Linked DNA regions of Macaca fascicularis. The protein of the gene in region 4 purifies or fractionates together with the protein of the main gene of each other region. This does not show direct contact. Links are inferred from orthologs where the notes say so. Each region holds a gene or a part of one and is shown on either strand. Other genes may lie near its edges. The genes, in order: PPP2R2A, PPP2R1B, PPP2R2D and PTPDC1.

The links.
Region 1: the proteins of PTPDC1 (region 4) and PPP2R2A purify together in Homo sapiens (affinity purification with mass spectrometry; 4 studies listed by BioGRID and IntAct, counting the BioPlex papers as one, with this or other methods). This does not show direct contact. The link is inferred for Macaca fascicularis from reciprocal best matches to the Homo sapiens genes PTPDC1 and PPP2R2A.
Region 2: the proteins of PTPDC1 (region 4) and PPP2R1B purify together in Homo sapiens (affinity purification with mass spectrometry; 3 studies listed by BioGRID and IntAct, counting the BioPlex papers as one, with this or other methods). This does not show direct contact. The link is inferred for Macaca fascicularis from reciprocal best matches to the Homo sapiens genes PTPDC1 and PPP2R1B.
Region 3: the proteins of PTPDC1 (region 4) and PPP2R2D purify together in Homo sapiens (affinity purification with mass spectrometry; 5 studies listed by BioGRID and IntAct, counting the BioPlex papers as one, with this or other methods). This does not show direct contact. The link is inferred for Macaca fascicularis from reciprocal best matches to the Homo sapiens genes PTPDC1 and PPP2R2D.

Annotation. Positions count from the first base shown.
Region 1 is NC_088382.1:29,477,530-29,482,592, reverse strand, and holds the start of PPP2R2A (serine/threonine-protein phosphatase 2A 55 kDa regulatory subunit B alpha isoform), read right to left. Parts: upstream 3,375-5,063; 5' UTR 3,064-3,374; coding exon 3,057-3,063; intron 1,210-3,056; coding exon 1,135-1,209; intron 1-1,134. UniProt on the Homo sapiens protein: Substrate-recognition subunit of protein phosphatase 2A (PP2A) that plays a key role in cell cycle by controlling mitosis entry and exit. Involved in chromosome clustering during late mitosis by mediating dephosphorylation of MKI67.
Region 2 is NC_088388.1:110,657,543-110,662,079, forward strand, and holds part of PPP2R1B (serine/threonine-protein phosphatase 2A 65 kDa regulatory subunit A beta isoform), read right to left. Parts: exon of another isoform or gene 3,856-4,537; intron 2,291-3,855; coding exon 2,169-2,290; intron 1-2,168. UniProt on the Homo sapiens protein: The PR65 subunit of protein phosphatase 2A serves as a scaffolding molecule to coordinate the assembly of the catalytic subunit and a variable regulatory B subunit.
Region 3 is NC_088383.1:140,951,359-140,956,467, reverse strand, and holds the start of PPP2R2D (serine/threonine-protein phosphatase 2A 55 kDa regulatory subunit B delta isoform), read right to left. Parts: upstream 3,162-5,109; 5' UTR 3,025-3,161; coding exon 3,018-3,024; intron 2,936-3,017; coding exon 2,843-2,935; intron 1-2,842. UniProt on the Homo sapiens protein: Substrate-recognition subunit of protein phosphatase 2A (PP2A) that plays a key role in cell cycle by controlling mitosis entry and exit. Involved in chromosome clustering during late mitosis by mediating dephosphorylation of MKI67.
Region 4 is NC_088389.1:124,332,952-124,337,488, reverse strand, and holds part of PTPDC1 (protein tyrosine phosphatase domain-containing protein 1), read right to left. Parts: intron 3,998-4,537; coding exon 3,887-3,997; intron 462-3,886; coding exon of another isoform or gene 345-461; exon of another isoform or gene 1-344. UniProt on the Homo sapiens protein: May play roles in cilia formation and/or maintenance.

The DNA.
Region 1 (5,063 bases), on a different chromosome or scaffold from region 4:
TTCAAAAGAAAAGGAACGTGAGCGAGCTCTGTAAAATATGACAAGTATAACCTGTGCCAGTTGGCTTCCCATAGGATTCACCACACTCTAAAACAGACACTTCATTAAGAATGACACTGACACAAGCAAATAAAAGCATTCGGCTACCACCCACCAACTGAAAAAAAACCTCCAAAAGAGTACCCTACAGACAGGTCAGAAATATGAGGACAACACAATCTAGGGAAAAAAGGTTTATGAATTTTCACCAAATTTTTAAAATTCAAAAGTACATGTTTAAATTTATGAGTTTTGTTTGGAAAATTCCTACTGTAATTCAAGACACACAATACCATTAAAAAACGTCAACATTTCTGAGGAATGAAACAATGCAACAACTTTGTGGGAAATGCCTCTGCTGCCTAAGACCATCTCAAATGAATGCAAAACCTTGAAGTTCCAAAACTTAAACTTCTGAAACACATTAGTAAACAAATATGGGGAGAAAATTAGACGTTAAGCACTTCAACTGATCAAACACAGTTTCTACCTGCACAAGAATAACGCTTCCTAGAAGACAAGCAATATATGCATAGCATTGTTACTGTCTTATCCACCTAAATACTAGAAAGACAACAAAACGAATAACCTGAGCTATCATTTCTTCACAGAATATGCCAATCAGCATCACACTCCCAAAGTGGACAAATTCAAAAGTAGTTAAAAATCTTCCCATAAAAATCAAAGACGCTGTTAAGAATGTTTCTGAACCAAATGCTGATGGCACCTATTTCAATTTACTTATCTAAAACAATGTACAAACATAAAAACGCATCGCCATTTATTTGTATGTGGAATTTACATAACAAAGAAACCCTTAAATGCAGCTCACAGCTTTCACGTGAGGATTTTGTATGTCTCATCACCTTTCATATAAATTCAGAGGAAAAAATAATAAAAACAAGGCATAAATAAATGAAATTTAAGGCTGTTTCTCAGAAAGGTAACTTTTAAAACTGTTCTTACATTTCTTGGACAATAAACACAAAATCATCTTGAATTTATAGTAGTTTCGGCTTCAAGGAAATCCCTCAGTAGGAAACATTTCTGAAAAAATTACATATCCAAAATTTGCATTATTAAACGCTTTCTTACCTTCTGCTACATCATCATCTACTGCTCCTTTCACCTGAGAAAAACACCACTGAATATCATTCCCTCCTCCAGCTCCTGGAAAAATAAAACATACCAATTAAAACCGAGTTCTGCTTATGTTGACTCTCGTAAACACAGAGATGGTATCCATGGTTGGCATGATACTAACAGCCTAGTTCTGCCCACACATACAACTACCACCAAGAGTACCAGTTTGGAAAAAGATGAGACCCCAATAGTTGGTACTGTACTAAAAAGAAAAAAACAAACATTCCAGGTATGAAATTATTTAAAGGCACATGATCTACGGTCATTATACATCTGTTCACAAACCTCCTCTCAAATACAGTAAAAGCCTTACATTCAGGCAAGACCTACCAGAAAAAAAGTAAATACCAAGAGTTAAAGAGTTTTCTTTTTAAGTGTACAAAAAGCCTGCAGAAGAATTAATAAGGTTAACTACCATGAAACATAGAACGAAGAGAAAACTTCGGGAACATTACTGCCTGGGTAAGAAGTAATGATTCATATGAACCCTATCACCAAAGTGCACACACAGCAAACACTACACCCATTTCTTTGCATTCATTACCAGCAAATCACTGGCTCCAGACAGAGAGGAAAAGAAACCGAAATGAATGCTGCTAAAGAGACTGTCAAAGGAAGCTTGTTCTGCCTCCCTTCACCTCATCTCTCGACTCCAAAGGACCTGGCAAAGAATTCATTTCGCTAACATGTCATCTCGTGCAAAACAATTTTAATCTCATTTCATTATTCAACAAGGCCAACAAGCAACTTATTTATAGCAAACAAGTCAATCCGACACGTTAACTTTTTCAAAAGGTTTAATTATCTAAATAATGAATATAATAGCACGGAAAACTGGTCTCATCGCGGAATGTTTCTATTTCACGTGCAAGTACTGAGGTCGAAATCGTGAAAATGTCCTGGGGCTCTAGGGAGAAAGAAACTGAATCTAAATCCGGAATTGATTCTACTACATGAAGGAAAAGATTTAGCAACACCAACATGTACAAAAAGAATTCTCAAAGCAATTACATTACTTCTCTCTCCCCTATCACCCCTATTCCTTGCTAAATTTATTCCTAAACTGATTTTCTCTCTACATCCTTTCCCCTCCCTTTCAAAGCTTCTACCTAAATCTCTCTCCTCCTAGCTATTTATATCTCTGAACTCCGCAACTATTTTAACTAACTCTACCAAACCCTTTTGGGAAAAGGACATCTGCAAAAAAGCTAACATACTAAACGGAAAGTTTAAATTATTTTCATGCAACTTGCTGTACATGAAAGGCCTTGCACTCTTCGGCGGTAAGAGGGAAGAAACGGAAACGAAATGGTTCGAAACAAAAAATTTAGGCTTCCAGTCTCAAAAATACTGGCATCCACAGTGGGGGGAAAAATACACATATGCCCCCATTGTATTTTAACTTGTAAAGCGCTCTTCCTTCTCGGTGCAAAATAAATGTGTATATACACCCAAGAAGACTTGCAGCAGGGGAAAAAATACAAATTAAATGAAGACCTGCAGGAAAAAAAAAAAAAGGCGAGGGGCGAGGTGGGGAGGTGGGAGAGGATCCACCAGGCTCCCGAGCGGGAGGGACAAATCTGCACGCGCCCCCACCCCGCCCCACCCACGCCTCACCCCAAGCTCGCCGGCACACCCCACCCCCACCACCGCCACGGCGCCAGCCCCGTTCTCCAAGCCCAGTGACTCTCACTGTGACCACTTGCCTCCTGGGAGCCCTCCCCGCCCCCACCCCACCCCTCTGGACCCTACTCCCTCAAACCCGAGGGGCGTCCTATGGCTCCGCGCGAGGCGCGGGCGGTCGCTAGGGGGTGATGGAGGGAAAAAGGAGGAAGCGGTGCCTTGTCAGGGGGCGAGGGGGATTTCTCCTTTACCTGCCATGTTGCGCTGCAAATGGTGACCCTGCTGGGTTCCTCGGGGTCTCCGCTTCCTGAACTCACCCCCCTCACCTGGGGATGGGGGGGTAGAGAGGGCGGATGGCGGCGGATGGCACCTGCGGGGGGAGGGGACGGGGGCCGGGGGAAAAGGAAGGAGGGGCGGGCAGACCAGCCGGCAGGATGCTAGATTTCACTCTGGGGCTTCCCCGCTCGTGCTCTTTCTCCGGCAGCGGCAGCGGCGGCTACGACAGCGACGGCGGCGGCGGCAGCGGCAGGGGTAGGCGACTCCACTTTCAAAATGGCGCCGGCTGGCCTGGCCAGTGACGTCACGCAGAGGGCGGAGCTGCCAGGCTGGGGCGGAGAGCAGAGGGGGAGGGGCGGGGGAGCGGCCGGGCCTGCTCCTGGCCACGCCCCCTTCCTGCTGCGCTCGTGCCCCGCCCTCCGCGTCCGGACCGGCGGGGCCTGCGCCGCTCCCGCGTCTGTCCACGGCACCCCATCTGCCCGCTCCGCCTGCGCCAGGCCGCGGCTGTATGCACCTGGCAGTGTCCCAGCCTCTCGCACTAGCGCGGGAGCTCTGGGGCGGGCTCAGCAGTCCAGTTTACGTCCTCGCCTGCAGGGATTCGTGGGGTCCTACGTCTTTTAGGAATACCAGGGCCGGGGACCGTGGGTCACGCCTGTAATCCCAGCACTTTGGAAGGCTGAGGCGGGCGGATCACAAGGTCAGGAGTTCGAGACCAGCCTGGCCAACATGGTGACTCCCCATCTCTACTAAAAAAACATACAAAAATTAGCCAGGTGTGGTGGTGTGCGCCTGTAATCCCAGCCACGAGGGAGGCTGAGGTGTGAGAATTGCTTGAACCCGGGAGGCAGAGGTCGCAGTAAGCCGAGATCGCGCCACTGCACTCCAGCCTGGGCAACAGAGCAAGACTCCGCGTCAAAAAAAAAAAATACTCGCACTACTACTTAGGAAAGTAAGTAAAAAGGAAGAGTAAGTAAAAAGGGCTGTCACTTTGGGTCAGCCCTGAGGCCGCAAAGAAAGGGAGAGCGGTGCAGACTTACTGCTCAGCCGGGGTGAAAGTTCACGGTGTTCAGAGGGACACCATTGGGCTGGTTCCATCTAGGTAAGTTAAGTCACCTTCGCGTGGGCCCCAGGAACCAAGGCAGGAGTCCTGGGCACTGCAGGCACTAAGGGTGGTTTGTAAGAGAAACCTGAGTTTGTGATGAGAAGGGTATGGCCCAAGAAGTGACTTGGCGTCTCTCCAGCTAAACGTGGTGTACTGCGTGCTTAAGAGCTGGGCGTTTAAGAGCAGTGGCTCACGTCTGCAGTCCCAGCAGTTTGGGAAGCCGGGGTGGGAGGATCGCTTGAGGCCAGGAGTTCCGAGTTAAGCCTAGAGAACATAGGGAGACCCATCTCTACAAAAAAAAAAGTTTTTTTAAATTAGCCAGGTATGATGGCGTGCCTATAGTGCTACTAGGAGGCTGCAGCTGGAGGATTGCTTGAGCCCAGTAGGTCAAGGCTGCAGTGGGCTGTGTGATCACACCACTGCACTCCAGCTTGGGAGACAGAATGCGATCCTGTCCAAACAAAAACAAAAACACAAAAAGTGCTGGACTCTGAAGCCAGGCTGCCTAATGTGATTCCAAAGCTCAGGAGATGAAGATGACAGTCCTACCTGATAGGATTGTTGGGGAGATGAAATGACTTAATTTGAGCACATGATAAATGTTAGCTGCCGTTGTTATTAGATTTGTATTGAAAGCATCGTCAGTAAGGTTAAGAGGTAGAAGGAAAAAAATGAACAGGAAATGCCAGTCATCAGCTATGAGGGGATGTGCACTTCTGTTGAAAGATGCTCTAATGATGCAGTTGCTATATACAGCATAATTTACATATCTCATTCCATCTCCACGATGCTCCTAGGAGATAGATATGCACGTTTTACACATGAAAAACACCTGTAAAAGCATCCAGAATTTGGCCTAAGGCTGAATGGAATGATAAAG
Region 2 (4,537 bases), on a different chromosome or scaffold from region 4:
CCAAACCTGGGCTCGGCATGGAGACTGAATGTCCCTCACAGCTGCTCCTTCCTGCAATAACAAGACTGACATCACTGTTGTCAGGGAAATGGTGTTTTGATTAAAATCATGTGACAGCTACTTCGTGATTCAATAAACAAATCCCCTGTTAACCCTCGCCTGACAAGGCCTGCCAGCAGCTTCATCGGGGAGCCCCCCTGCGTCCTGTCCGGGAGCGAGCCGCCGCGCGGACCCCGGGCACCACGGTGTGGGAGGTGACCCACGCTGCTCCCTGGCAGATCCTGCCTGGGGGACACACATGACATCCAACACACAGGCACCTCCACAGACTTCAAGGGCGCCAAGGAGGCGCCCTTCACCAAGGGAGACTGGCTCTTGCCCCTTCCATTCTCTCTTCAAGTGATGGGCCCAGCCCCTGGAATGTCCAATGGCTCCCTGAGAGCCCTGAGGGTGGCTGAGAACGGATGGTTCCCGGGGCTCTCAATAGCAAGGCGCTCACTCTCACCCCGTTCGGACAGACTGGCAAGTCCACTACACACCCTAGACAGTGAGGGGTTAAGAACAATTTCTGGTTGCAATTGGATGACTTCCTGGATCACTCACTTGGCTGCTGGCCCCTGACACACAGGGTTCTGCCTGGCAACAGCCAATTCCCTTTCCATCTCCCCCTCGGGTCATTTTCCTTAAGTGAAACAAATGCATGGAAGGCTCCCTGAGTCATGGGGCGGGGGATTTTTCTGAGTTAAATGAACTGAAGCCTCAGAGGCCTAGCACCAATGGGCCTCCTTTCCTGGAAAGAAAGATTCTCAAATAGACATGACAGAGGTTGGGGGAGATTCATGAGGGACTGAAAAATGATGACAGCACTTAACCACCTAGGGTGGGTGAGGATGACATGAGATTTAAAGTGCCTGACAAGGGGCTGCAGTGACCAAGGCTCAAGTAACGACAGTTAATTCTCAATAACTCCTCAGCTAGCAGAGGCACAGCTCGGGCCGTCAGAGCTGAGCAGGTCAGCCATGGGAGGGCCACCTCAATGACCCACGCTCAGATCGGGTCTTACCACGCATTTATGGCATGAGCAGTTGGCTCTGAATTTGTAGGAAGATGTAACCCCTTTCTTCCCAAAGAAGTCTGTGGTTTAGGCCTAAAAAATGTGTAACTGTCACCCCCCACTCCTTCAGCCAAGTTCTCCTTCCTGCGGCCCAGTTCTGTGAAGAGAACATGGACTCCAAGGACTGGCCACTCGGGAATCCATCCGGACAGTCATCGCCCAGCCCTTCCTCCCACTGTGTGGCCACTGCAGGAACGACCGGTGCTGCCCACGGACAAGTGTGCAGCCACTCAGGAAGGCAAGAACGTTCTAAGATGAGCGAAGGCGATTCTGGACCTCAACAACAGGAAAAAACGTTTTCATGGTTTCGGTTCACATAAAATGAAAAGCCATGTGACTTAAAAGGCAGCCTTTTTGATGTTACTTCATAGAATTTCACCAAGCGAACCCACTAGAGTGGGTGTGAGAATGTCAGATTTTTCCCCATGAACTAAACGCAGTCTGGCATCAGCACGAGGCAGCCAAGCCCTGCTGCTCTCCTTTTCTGAATATATCTGTAAGTCACAAATCGCCCTCCTAATGAATGGCCCTGGGGCAGTGGCTGGCACCGACTGCTGAAATGCGGCTTTTCACACCATTTCCACACAGAGTGGCGTCCAGTGGGGCTTGTAGAACATGAGCTGTTACAGAGAAACTTGCAACTATTTTTATCTTGAATGGAAATAACTGAGGAATTGTGGCAAGTCACTTCTGTATTACGTGAGGAAAATGGGAACAGCCCCTTTTTACAAGCAATTCTTCACCAAATCCCACCAGTGTCCTCTATATGGGCTTCGCTGTTGGACGGGGAGGTGATGGGAGATGGGCCTCAAGCTACAATAGTGACAGCTCTGGCCGGCAACCCGTCCCTCAGAAAGCACTCCCAGAACGAAGTAAGCTGGCAACAGGCTTTAAAAATCTACTCCCGGCCCTTAATATTGGACTCTTCCCCTGGGGACAAAGTGAGAGGAGCTGCTTCTCAGCCTACCCTGCGGCAGCTCCCCGCAGACCAGGCCACCCTGGCTGCCCGCAGCCCTGAGGGCAGGACTTGGCCCCAGGCTTCCGGGGCACTTACCTTCCCCGTGTCCTCTCCAGGCACTCTGGGTCTTGGGAAATGGTTCTTGTCAGCCCGAGGGACACTGGGTTCTCCACTGTCCTTCACAGGAAAATCTAGCTTCCTCAGCCTTTGTGCCACCACTAGAGACACAGACAGTGGCGCTGTAACTGTCCCTGACCAGGGCACATCCCTCCCAAGCCCACCTGCGCTTCCCAGCCAGGATGCCCTCAGTTGTGCCAGCAGAGCTGGGAAGTCCAGCAGCAGCCGACAGTCTCTGCCCATGGGGCACTGGGCAGAGAAGGCTGGGGCAGTCCAGGGTCGTGCTGAGGTGCCTTTCCCTCGGGGCCCTGGAAAGCGCTGCCCCATAGGGCCTTTTGGTGTCCACCTGGCTGTTCCCTACATCTTGGTCACTGATGGCCTCCAGAGCCCCAACCACAGGGAAGACCTGGCTCCTTTCAGAACTCCTATCAGTTTAAGAGAACACCTCTGGAGACAGAAATGACTTGGCTTTTCGACGCAATGAGGAATTAAACTCTATTCGTCCTCCAGAAGATTTCCATCCCAACTGAACGTTATGTAATTTCCTGGAAACAGCAGGCTCGTGGAGGCAAACAGGGGACAGTGAGACTATTCTAGGTACAGAGGACTGGAGGGAGACGTGCGAGGGAAGAGGAAAGAGGGGAGTAAGGAACTGGATGGAAACAGGAATACTGGAGAATCAAAGGGAAACAATTACATCACATCAGACTGCAGTCACCTCAGCTGGTAAACCAGGAGAACACTGGGCAACAGGGCCTCTCCCCCTAGTTTCATATCCAAGCAGTGGAGAAAAATAGGAAGCTTTACGATAAGAGTGTCACCATTTTTAAGTCAGAGGAATTTAAGTAAAAGGCAAGAGGACAGGACAAGCACCTGACCTGTTTGGCCACCCTGCCCTGCCGTCGCCACAGGGACAGAGCCAATGTGACGTCTAAGGGCAAGCCCCAGCCTTTCAGTTTAGTGACAACACAACGGTTAACAAAGGAACAAAAGTGCACCAGGTTAACCGCCGGGCCAGGAAGGACAGGCTTGCTTCCCTAGAGGTCTACGCAAACAACCTGAACGCTTGGGCAAGCCAGCTCAAAGGTCAGGCTGCCGACTGTTGAGTCAGGACAAGCTGTCGGACGAAGACCCCTGGGGCTCTGCATCACAGTGGCCGAGCTGTGGTATTTCTGTGAGCTGAGGGCAGCCCGTTATTTCAACAAGACCTCATTAGAAACCACATATTCACCTGTTTTCCTTCTTATGCAACAAGATGCATCCTCAGGTTCACATCTTCTTGGCAGCACAGAGAAAGAAACAAGACCTGGTCTCTTAAACCTGTGAGGAGTAAACCCCACACAAATTGCAGAGAAACACCAAGGTGAACTCCATTGCTGCTGAGACATTTGTACGGCACAGGTAATATGTTTGTGTGTGTATGTGTGTGTGTCTGCTTCATTTTTCTAATCAAACAACTGATGTAAGCTGCCAAGGATGAAAACCAATACATGTTTGAAGCAACCAGACAAATCCACACAGAACTGTAGTCTAAGCCAGGGGACCAGAGAAGGGCCACATAAAGCTTGTTTCCTGAGAGCAGGAAAATCTTTGTGTCGATGGGAAAATAAGACACAGTCTGGTTCTTTTGGTGATTTGTTCCATGTACACAACACATCAGAGGATATTTTAGAAATTCATCCACTGAACACATTTTTATTGAGCACCTATTATGTGCACCAGATACTGTTCCAGGCACTGGCAATACAGAAGATAAAACAGACAAAAATACCAGCCTTACAGAGCTCCTAAAGCCTATATTCCAGTGAAATCAAGATAGGAGAAATTGTCCCTTAAGTTTAAGGTAGTTAAAAAAAAAAAATAGGAGAACTAATTCATGGAGAACATGGCCAAGTTATGAGCCAAAGCACAATTCCTCCAAAGAGTGCCAAAGCAAATTATCTTTTGCTTCACTCAGAAGAAAACAATGAAACCCCTGAGGGGTCACCACAAAAGACAGAGGCCCCGCTGAGCCCCCGACCCATGCTTGAGAAAGCCAGGGCCCGCTCTCCCTCTCAGTTTTAGGGTGGAGAAGTCAATGCTTAGGGCTCCTCAGGGGGAGACACAAGGGCATTTTGAAAGTCTGTCCCCAAAACAATGGTATTTCCAACTAGAGCAAGGCAATGGTTCCAATGCAAATCTGTTTCATGAAGACAAATGTCTCTCAAGTCTGAAATTCAATGAAGAACTTGCAGGTAATAAAAAATAAAGGCCCATGAAACTAAAATTAAAATGTTTATAGAATAATAGCATAAGATAATAAAATGAGAATACAGAAAAAGATTTTTGCTTAGGAAAATACTTAATTC
Region 3 (5,109 bases), on a different chromosome or scaffold from region 4:
CGCCCAGGATGGAGTGCAATGGCACAATCTCGGCTCACTGCAACCTCCACCTCCCGGGTTTAAGCGATTCTCCTGCCTCAGTCTCCTGAGTAGCTGGAACTACAGGTGGGTGTCACCACACCTGGCTAATTTTTGTATTTTTAGTAGAGATGGGGTTTCGCCATGTTGGCCAGGATAGTCTCAAACTCCTGACCTCAAGTGATCCACCCGCCTCAGCCTCCCAAAGTGCTGGGATTACAGGTGTCAGCCACCACACCTGGCCACCCATCTCTTATCTCTCACCAACATCTCTCCCTCAAGGTTGCGTTGGGCATGACCAGCTTCTCAATTCTTGCTGCTCAGCAATCACTGGTGACCAACGACTACACTTCCCTTCATCATCACTGACTGTGTGGTCTTCATACAAACCAACAGTATCACAACTATGGGACAAATCGATGGTGAGTTATAAATGTGTTAATCTGGATGGGTTACTATGGCCAAAGCATACATGGATTAAAATAGAAAGCTGTGAATACCTACAATAACCAAAACGTGTGGATAATTACCACAAAACAATGTTACAAAAAATAAACCACGACAACTCAAAATACCAAACTTTTGGATTTACTCAAAATTTAACTTAAAATAGGGATTTAAAACTGCAAAAAGTTCCCATCAGTTTAATTCAGAGAACAAAGTATTTGTCAAGTTTTTTTTTTTTTTTTTTTTTTTTTTTTTTTTTTTTTTGAGATGGAGCCTTGTTCTATTGCCCAGGCTGGAGTGCAGTGGCGCCATCTCCACTCACTGCAACCTCCACCACCTGGGTTCAAGTGATTCTCCTGCCTCAGCCTCCCAAGTAGCTGGGATTACAGGCATGCACCACCACGCCCAGCTAACTTTTGTATTTTTAAAAGAGACGAGGTTTCACTATGTTGGCCAGGATGGTCTCAAACTCCTGACCTCAAGTGATCTGTCCACCTTGGCCTCCCAAAGTGCTGGAATTATAGGCATGAGCCACGATACCTGGCCCAAGAATTTTTTTTTAAAGAAAGAATGCTATTTTCACATGTGTAAATTCACAGTTAAAATACACTACTTTAGTTATACTTAAATTTTAATTCATTCAGTTTATCATTTTTTTTTTTCAAGTAAAGAAACCAGGCAGGTGTGGTCGCTCACGCCTGTAATCTCAGCACCTTGGGAGAATGATGTGGGCAGACCACTTGAGCCCAGGAGTTCAGACCAGCCTGGGCAACATGGTGAAATCCTCTACGACAATACAAAAATTAGCCTGGTGTGGTGGTGCGTGCATGTCTGTGGTCCTAGCTACTCCAGAGGCTCAGATGGGCCTATGAGCCTATGAGGCAGAGGTTGCAGTGAGCCCAGATGACGCCACTGCATTCCATCCAGCCTGAGCTACAAAGTGAGACCCTGTCTCCAAAAAAAAAAAGAGTTAAAAAAAAAAAAAAAAAAAAACAGAAATTAAGGCAGGCATTAAGCCCTCTCACCTTCCTTACTCCCAAACAAGTTTTGCTTTACTTGCGATAGAAGTCACACTTCAAACTTGCTTGGCATATACAAAATCAAACAAAAAAAGGTAACGTATTTTAAATAAATAAAATCAATAAACTTTTTACATCACATAAAATGTACCTAGTTTTAATCTCAAACAGTATACATTATGCATTTCTTAGAGCCCAGTTTCACCTGCTTAATAACCTAGGCCCTGTTTGTGCCAGGGGGCTCAGAACTTCCAGATGTCCTCAGGGGTCATGCACCAAACCAGACACTGCCAGGGAAAGGTACAGGGTAGGGAAGAGGGAGTAAAATGTCATGGGAGGGGCTGAGATGGAGGGAAGTGAACAGAATGTCTGACAAGGGGTTTCTAGTAACTTGAGGCAGGAAAGGTGTATTTGGTGCAAACACAAATCATTTTTAAGAAAAGGTTAAAGGTTTACAATGTTCAGTAAGATATATAAACAACAAAAAAGTCACTATGGCTCTAAATCTGAAATATTAATCAAACTTCTAAGACTCGACCAAGTTCTCCATTCAACGGTGAAGAAGGAAAGCTACACAGCTTTTTCACTCGAGGGTGACATGCAAGCTTCACGGGAAGCTGAGGCGGGAGGCACTCCCCAGTTTCCTCCTACCACCCTAAAACTTTGTGCCTGGACCAATTTAAGGGTATGATTTAAGGAAATGACCAGCGAACTTCCAGTAATACCATAAAGTTCAAGATTAAAATCTGGAGTAGAGACTTCAAAATATATCAATAGAGAAAGGAGCAATACTTCACAGTAAAATTCAAGGATGTTAGAACCTCAGAAAGCAGACCTTAACAATCAGGGCGTCCAGCTCTCTTGTTAAGGGTGGACAAACCGAGGCAACCAGCTTGCTCAAGAGCGCACCGGCGAGGAAACGCAGAGCCGGGCGGGGGCCGAGGCCCCGACCCAGCCCTAGGCGCGTTCCCATCCTCCGGGCCATTGTGCCGCGCTGCCTGAGCGCAGAATCTGGACTCCGTTCCCGTCCCCGACTCCGCCGCGGTCTCCGCGATTCCGCCCCGGGCAGGAGGCAGCCCCAGGCGCTGGGTTCGGAGGGCCCGGCCGCCCGTGACCTTGGTGACTTACATAAGCCCCGCCGCGGGCCCGGCGCCTCCGCCCGTGCCCCGCGGGCCAGGACAGCGGACAGACGACGGCCGCCCCACGATGGTCCCCCACCACGGCCCCCAGCCCCTGCCCCGCCCGGCCCCCATCCTCCTGCCTGCCTTCCTTGGGCGCTTGGGGCCCGGAGGCCGCGGTCGGCCTGGGGGCTGCCCGCCAAGGTCCCGGGGCGGGGCGCGGCGCGGCGCGGGCCTCACCTTCGGCCACGTCCTCGTCGATGGCCCCCTTGACCTGCGAGAAGCACCACTGGAAGTCGTTGCCGCCCGCGGGGCAGCCGCCGCCTCCGGCTCCTGCAAACACAACGGGGCGGTCAGGCCGGCCGCGGCCCCCGCCCGCCCCCGCGGCCCCCGCCGGCCCGCGCAGGCCCCTCACCTGCCATGGCAGCCGGCGGCGGGACGGGCGGGGACCGCGGCGGACTAGGGAGACGGCCTCCGCGCCGCTACAGCCGAGCGCTCAGCCCCGGCCGCCGCCGCCGCCGGGGAGGGATTTTTTTCCCTTTTCAAAATGGCGCCCAATGCCCGTCGCCCCGCTCGATGACGTCATCGCCCTCCGCCTCCTCGAACCGGCAGCGGACGGGGCGGGACGCGGGGGTTGCCGGGGGCGTCCAATGCGCCTGCGCTTGCCGACCCCGGACCTGGGCCCGGCGCCGCTCGGCTAGGGGGGAAGGGACGCCTGGGCGACTGCAGAGGGTAGCTGGGGTCGGCGGGCGCAGGCCAAGTCCTCGGCCCTCGGCGCTAGGCCTCCCGTAGTGGTCCGGTGTGCGCCCGGCGCTCCCCTGAAGACTAGCGCCGCCGAACGCCCCTACTCTCCGGGAACTCCGGGAGGGCCTGGGCTGCGGCCGGACACGCCTTCCGGGCGCCGCTGGGCCGAACACGCCCCCATCCCGCATCGGCCAATGGGAGTGTGGGTTCTCCACCGAACCGCCAATGGAGGGCGCGCTTGGCGGCGGTGGGCGGGCATGTGGGCCGTCCTCACCTGAGCGCGCCGCACCTGAGCCCTACCTCCCGCCCACTGCCCCCCGCGCGGAGTCTCGCTTGGTACCCCGAGCCGAAGTGTAGGGGCGTCATCTCGGCTCTCTAAAGTCTCGACCTCCTGAGCTCAATCCATCCTACTGCTTCACCTCGGAAGTAGCTGCGAGCACAGGCACGCGCTGCCAGGCTCGCGAATTTTTTAATTTTTTGTAGAGACGGGGGCCTATGTTGCTCAGGCTGGTCTCGAACTCCTGGGCTCGAGCCGTCTGCCTGCCTCGGTCTCCCAACCCCGTCCACCTCCCTTTCATAGCGCACCGTTGCTCACCAGATGGCTACCTTACAGGTTCTCGGAGCTCCCAGTGCAGTCTTGGGGAAACAGGGCCGATCGTTTCTTCATTTGCGGGGGGTTTTCTCTGGCATACTGAGCGATTACGGGTGCTCCTCGACTTGCAGTGGGGCTACCCTCCCCGCCAATAAGCTCTTCCTAAGTCAAAAATGCATCTAATACCCAATCTACCCATCGTAAAGTTGAAAAATGTGAAGTCGAGCTATCATCAGGGAGACTGTCCCTATGGGATTGATGTCCGGAATCAGAACTACTTTCAGTATAGCTGCAGTGGGCGCTGATGGTATTGCACCACTAAAAGACAGTCGCTGCAAATCAGGAACATTCGTCCACTCCAGTCGGAGCTGGAGAGAAAAATCAGAGAAGGAAACGTGTATGGAGAGAGTTGGAATCTTGCACGGGGGTGACTGGAGAAGACTCAGGGATAACGAGTAAGCATGCAGACGTCTAGGAAAGCTTGGCCAGGAGGAGAGACTACCAAGTGCCAGGACAGGAAGGAGGGCCATGCCTGGCATGGGCAGGAGGCAGCCGGAAGCCGCATGGGTGCAGAGTGAGTGGAGGGGAGGCCAGGGGTTGGAGTCAAGGCAGGGAGGTAAGTGGAGGAGGATGGACGGTGGGCAGGCCATTTAGGGGACTTGAATTCTGAGTGAGATGGGCTCATGAACAGAAGAGCATCGTGATGGACTGGGGCTTTCACAGAGCCACCGTGGATGCTCTGCTGAGAATAGCCTGTGGGGACCCCAAGAGAGGAAGCAGGGAGACCAATCAAGTGGCCAGCTGGGCTGACCAGGCATGGGGATGAGGATAGAGTGGTGAACGTGGGGTTGGATGGTGAGAACCAGTTAGATTTCAGAGAAAAGCACTTTGACAGCAGAGGCTCTGGGATTCGCTGATGGAAGAGATGTGGTGTGAGAGAATGCAGGGACTTAGGAATGACTGCTCTCGGGTGGTCTGAGCACCTGGAACGATGGAGTTTCTGCAACAGAAGGGCTGCAAAAGGCCCATCTGGGTGGGGGCAGTGCAGCCCGACCAGAGGTTCACTGTCAACACATAGCGCTGTTGCACAGACAAACCTGGAGCACGCAGGGAAGTCAGAGCCAGAGCATCAAGGTGAGAGCACTTAGAGTTTCAAGTCAGGAAACTGGGT
Region 4 (4,537 bases):
AAAATGGTTATTTTGGAAAGACAAGTTATGATTATTTCCAAAACGTCAAAAGGAATAAGAATGTAAACACTATATACTTAAAATGTTAATGCAATAATATTAACTCAGTCAAATAAAGAAAGTGGCACCAAATTTATGGCAATTTTTCAAAACAAAAATGTAGCTCAAGGATATTTAAAAATAAATAATTGGTTCAAATAGGGACAACCATTCTCAGCACAAATCAACGACATTCAAAATAAAGTGCTATGAGAAAAAGTAGCCCCACAAACTTCGACTTATTCACATATGAACAGAGATACTATCTGGATCTTTAGGTCTGAAATATTCACCACGAGGGAAAGCTAGAGGCCAGGCTTAGGGCCATCTTTTGTCATTTTTCTTTTTTCTTCCAGCGTGTGCTTAAATATTTTCTTCAGGGTGTTGTAAACTATTGGTCCATTTTCAGAATCAAAATTAACCTGGTGATAAAGAAATTTATATTCAGGACACTGTAACAAGAATTTTAACTAGTTCCTATTTTGAGAGAAGGAGGGGGTGGAGAAAAAAACAGACTTACGAACAAAACTCTATATAAAATACACATAATAAGTTTCACACATTTTAGTTGAAAGACTATATTAGAACTGCCAACCATGTCAATACCAAACTTATGAATGAAAACCCCAAAATTAAATCTAGTGCCTGGATATTTAGTCTAATTATACACACCCAGACATGAAGCAAGTCAACAGTGGGTGTGAAGTGAATTTTTTGAGACTATTATTGATGGTATAAGGGAAAAGTTTCCTGTATTAAAACAGCACATCAGCTGTATACGTCCTGCTAAGAGGCCCTGTGGCCACTCTGGACAGAATCAGAGTGACGTGAATAGAAGCCCAGCTCCCCACCTGCTAGCTATGTGCCCTCATCTCATACCCAACCTCTCTGGACCTCGATCTCCTCCTTTGTAAAACAGAGATAATAATACCCACCTTCGTAGGATAGCGTATCTGTGAGTCTAACATATGTTTGGCACATATATACAAACCTCAACTGGTCAGGCGTGGTGGCTCATGCCTGTAATCCCAGCACTTTGGGAGGCGGAGGTGGGAGGGTCGCTTGAGCCCAGGAGTTCGAGACCAGCCTGGGCAATAGAGCAAAACCTCATCTCTACAAAAAATTAAAAAAAATTAGCCAGGCATGGTGGCACGTGCCTGTTGTCCAGCTACTTGGGAGGCTGAGGTGGGAGAAATGCATGAGCCCAGGAGGCAGAGGATGCAGGGAGCTGAGATTGTGCCATTGCACTCCAGACTGGGCGACAGAGTGAGACCCTGTCTCAAAAAACAAACAAACAAACAAACCCCACCTTGATAAAGGTAAATTTCCTTTCCCCTTGATGGGAGAGCACTATTTACACATATTTGCATTTTTTCACCCAAGTTTACCATACTCTGGGTTAGGAGTGATGGCAGAACTGAGAACCAGAGCAAGTACCCACCCTCAGCCCCCTTCCCAGAATAGTGTGTGACTCCCTGGGAAAGAATCAGGGTCACACAATCACTGCTTCTCTCCTTCTGGAATTTCTCCTCTGATAAATTTTGAAAATGGAAGGTTGTTCCCTCTGTCAACAACTGTAAAGGATCTGACTTTGACCTGTTAGCTTGCCAGTGTTACGGACACTGGTAGAAGATACGAGATTTCTGGGTCAGAGACAGACAACTTTTATTTCTCACAGCTGCACGTGCTTCATGTTCACATGGGTTCTCTTTGTCTCCCAAGTCTCATGGGGGCAATGCAGAGGGGCCTAGGTGAAGGCTGCACAAGCACGGGGTTTGCCTCATAGCTGAGGAGCCCCAAGCTTAGGAAACTCTAATGTTTCACAAGGGGGCTGCAAAAAATTCTGCCAACCTTTGCCCCGAAGGGAAACATTTTTATTATCCGGGAAGTCAGAACACGTGCCTTCTGTTCTCCAGGCAGAGCTCTCCAGACACTAGTGAAGAGTTGATCCCCAAAGACAGTGGTCAGGGCATCTGCTCATCAGACTATGAGGAGACCTGAGAGACCCAAGGAAAACTGTCTCCTAACATTTTCTATAGACGGATTTTGAACAATTGCTATCTCTAACTTTTCCTTCATATCCCCTTAAAAGGCCAACAGAAGTTGTAAAGAATTCCTACTGCTTTCAGAGAGACCAATCTTAAGATTTTTTTTCAGTCAAGCTCAGAATTTAATTTTATCTATAACTACACTGTATATCCTATTTGCAAAAAAACTCCTTATTAATATTAACAATGGTCTGAATTGTTTACCTTTTTTTTTTTTTGAGATGGAGTCTCACTCTGTTGCCAGGCTGGAGTGCAGTGGCGCGATTTTGGCTCACTGCAACCTCCGCCTCTCGGGTTCAAGCCATTCTTGAACATTCTACAGGCGCCCTCCACCACGCCCAGCTAAATTGTTGTATTTTAGTAGAGATGGGGTTTCACCATGTTGGCCAGGATGGTCTCGATCTCCTGATCTCATAATCTGCTCACCTCAGCCTCCCAAAGTTCTGGGATTACAGGCATGAGCCACCATTCCCGGCTCTGTTTACTTTCTTAAACACCAAACTACAACCTTCTTCACATGGAGGGTAGCCTTTCAGTCTATGAAAATGTAAATACAGATGTAAAGGACCACGTGGTTTGGATTTGAGACTACTGACTCTGGAAACAGTTGAGAACAGATTGAAAAGATGTCAGTGGTTAGTGCCATAGAATCCAGATGAGGAAAAAGGAAGGCCTGAAGTAAGAACATCACTCTGGAAAGAGTGGAGGGGAAGCAGACTGGACAAATATTAAAAAGGAAGAATCTTCACAACTTGTGAATGAGTATAATTAATAACTTATTAATGTTACCACAGATGTTGTCATTCAAAAGCTGGGTTCTTTAACGACACTTTCATATCAATGAGACGTAACAAACAAATTATAGATACTTTCATATCAATGAGAAGTAATAAACAAATTATAGTTGATGGGGTAAGGGGAAACTTTTCTCTCGGTAAGAACCTGGCTTCTTCTTTCTTCAGCCAGGAAAAACTGCTGCATCCAAAAGGATGGGCTTTTAGAAATAAAACCTGTTTGTTTTTTTTTTAACTCTTTCCTTAGGATTTGCCAACCAGGACTCAGTACTGAATCAGCAATGTGGGATGTTTACTTTTCTTTTTTTTTTTTTTTTTTTTTTTTGAGACGGAGTCTCGCTCTGTCACCCAGGCTGGAGTGCAGTGGCCGGACCTCAGCTCACTGCAAGCTCCGCCTCCCGGGTTCTCGCCATTCTCCTGCCTCAGCCTCCCGAGTAGCTGGGACCACAGGCGCCCGCCACCTCGCCCGGCTAGTTTTTTTGTATTTCTTAGTAGAGACGGGGTTTCACCGTGTTAGCCAGGATGGTCTCGATCTCCTGACCTCATGATCCGTCCGTCTCGGCCTCCCAAAGTGCTGGGATTACAGGCTTGAGCCACCGCGCCCGGCCAGGATGTTTACTTTTCAATAAATGGTTTCTTACTTAAACCCAAGGTAGAACTGGCTCGACAAGCAAAGATTCTCTGACTCTGATTAGGCACATGATCTAAAAATATGTATTCAATACTCAGTTATTTCTCTCTTTCTTTTATATAAAAGCTCTTTGTTCCAACATTCTCCTTCAAAAAACCCACAGTTCAGTTTTTCCTAAGATCATTGTTTGGAAACTTTTTTTTTTTTGGTTAAAACTCTGCAACTACTTAGAAGAAATGTCAAACAGATTTCCATGAAGGGAAAACGTACACATACATGTTTTATTTTAGAGGAGGATGGTGACCTCTGGATTCTGATTTACAAAAATGATGCTGATCTGTGGTTCAGAGAGGGGAAAGAAGAGTGTGACCCACCTTAGTGAACGCCTTAATGGCATGGGCAAGGAAAGCTTCCTCCACATCCACGGGAATTGTCTGCAGGTTCACTATGCAGTGCAACACGCAGAGAATAGTCTGGTGCTGTCCCTGTTTTTGTAGAAATCAAAATTTTAAAAATGTGTTCAAAAAACGCCTCAATAAATCGATTCAAAACTATCTTAGAGTCAAGAATTGGTTTGTGACCAAGTACTCGTAATGTCAAATGCCAAAATATCTAACAAAATATCTAAACATCAACAAATGTTTATTATTATGTGTTAATATAATTTGAAAAGTTTTCAGGAGATAATATCAAAGCTGGCTAGCTATTTCACAAAGTAAAACTAAATTTGAAGATCAGTGCAATTTTAAACCAAGTGTTTCTCTTGCCGTGAATTGAACAGATTTTCCCATTCTTGTTGTTTCTGGATATAATCATGTCAGTTGTCTAGTAGATGGCGACATGTCATAGAGATACATGGACTAACTAACTGGGCACTGAGTGGTCAGGATCTGGGTACCCAGCCACTGCAGATGATATGGAGGGAGGGGGTAGACAAAGAAAAGGACAAGGGCAACCCCAGTCCCCCAGGAGCAATGCAGTGCTTAAGTGCTTAGCCTCCAACCTAAGGGGGTAAGATACTTAAA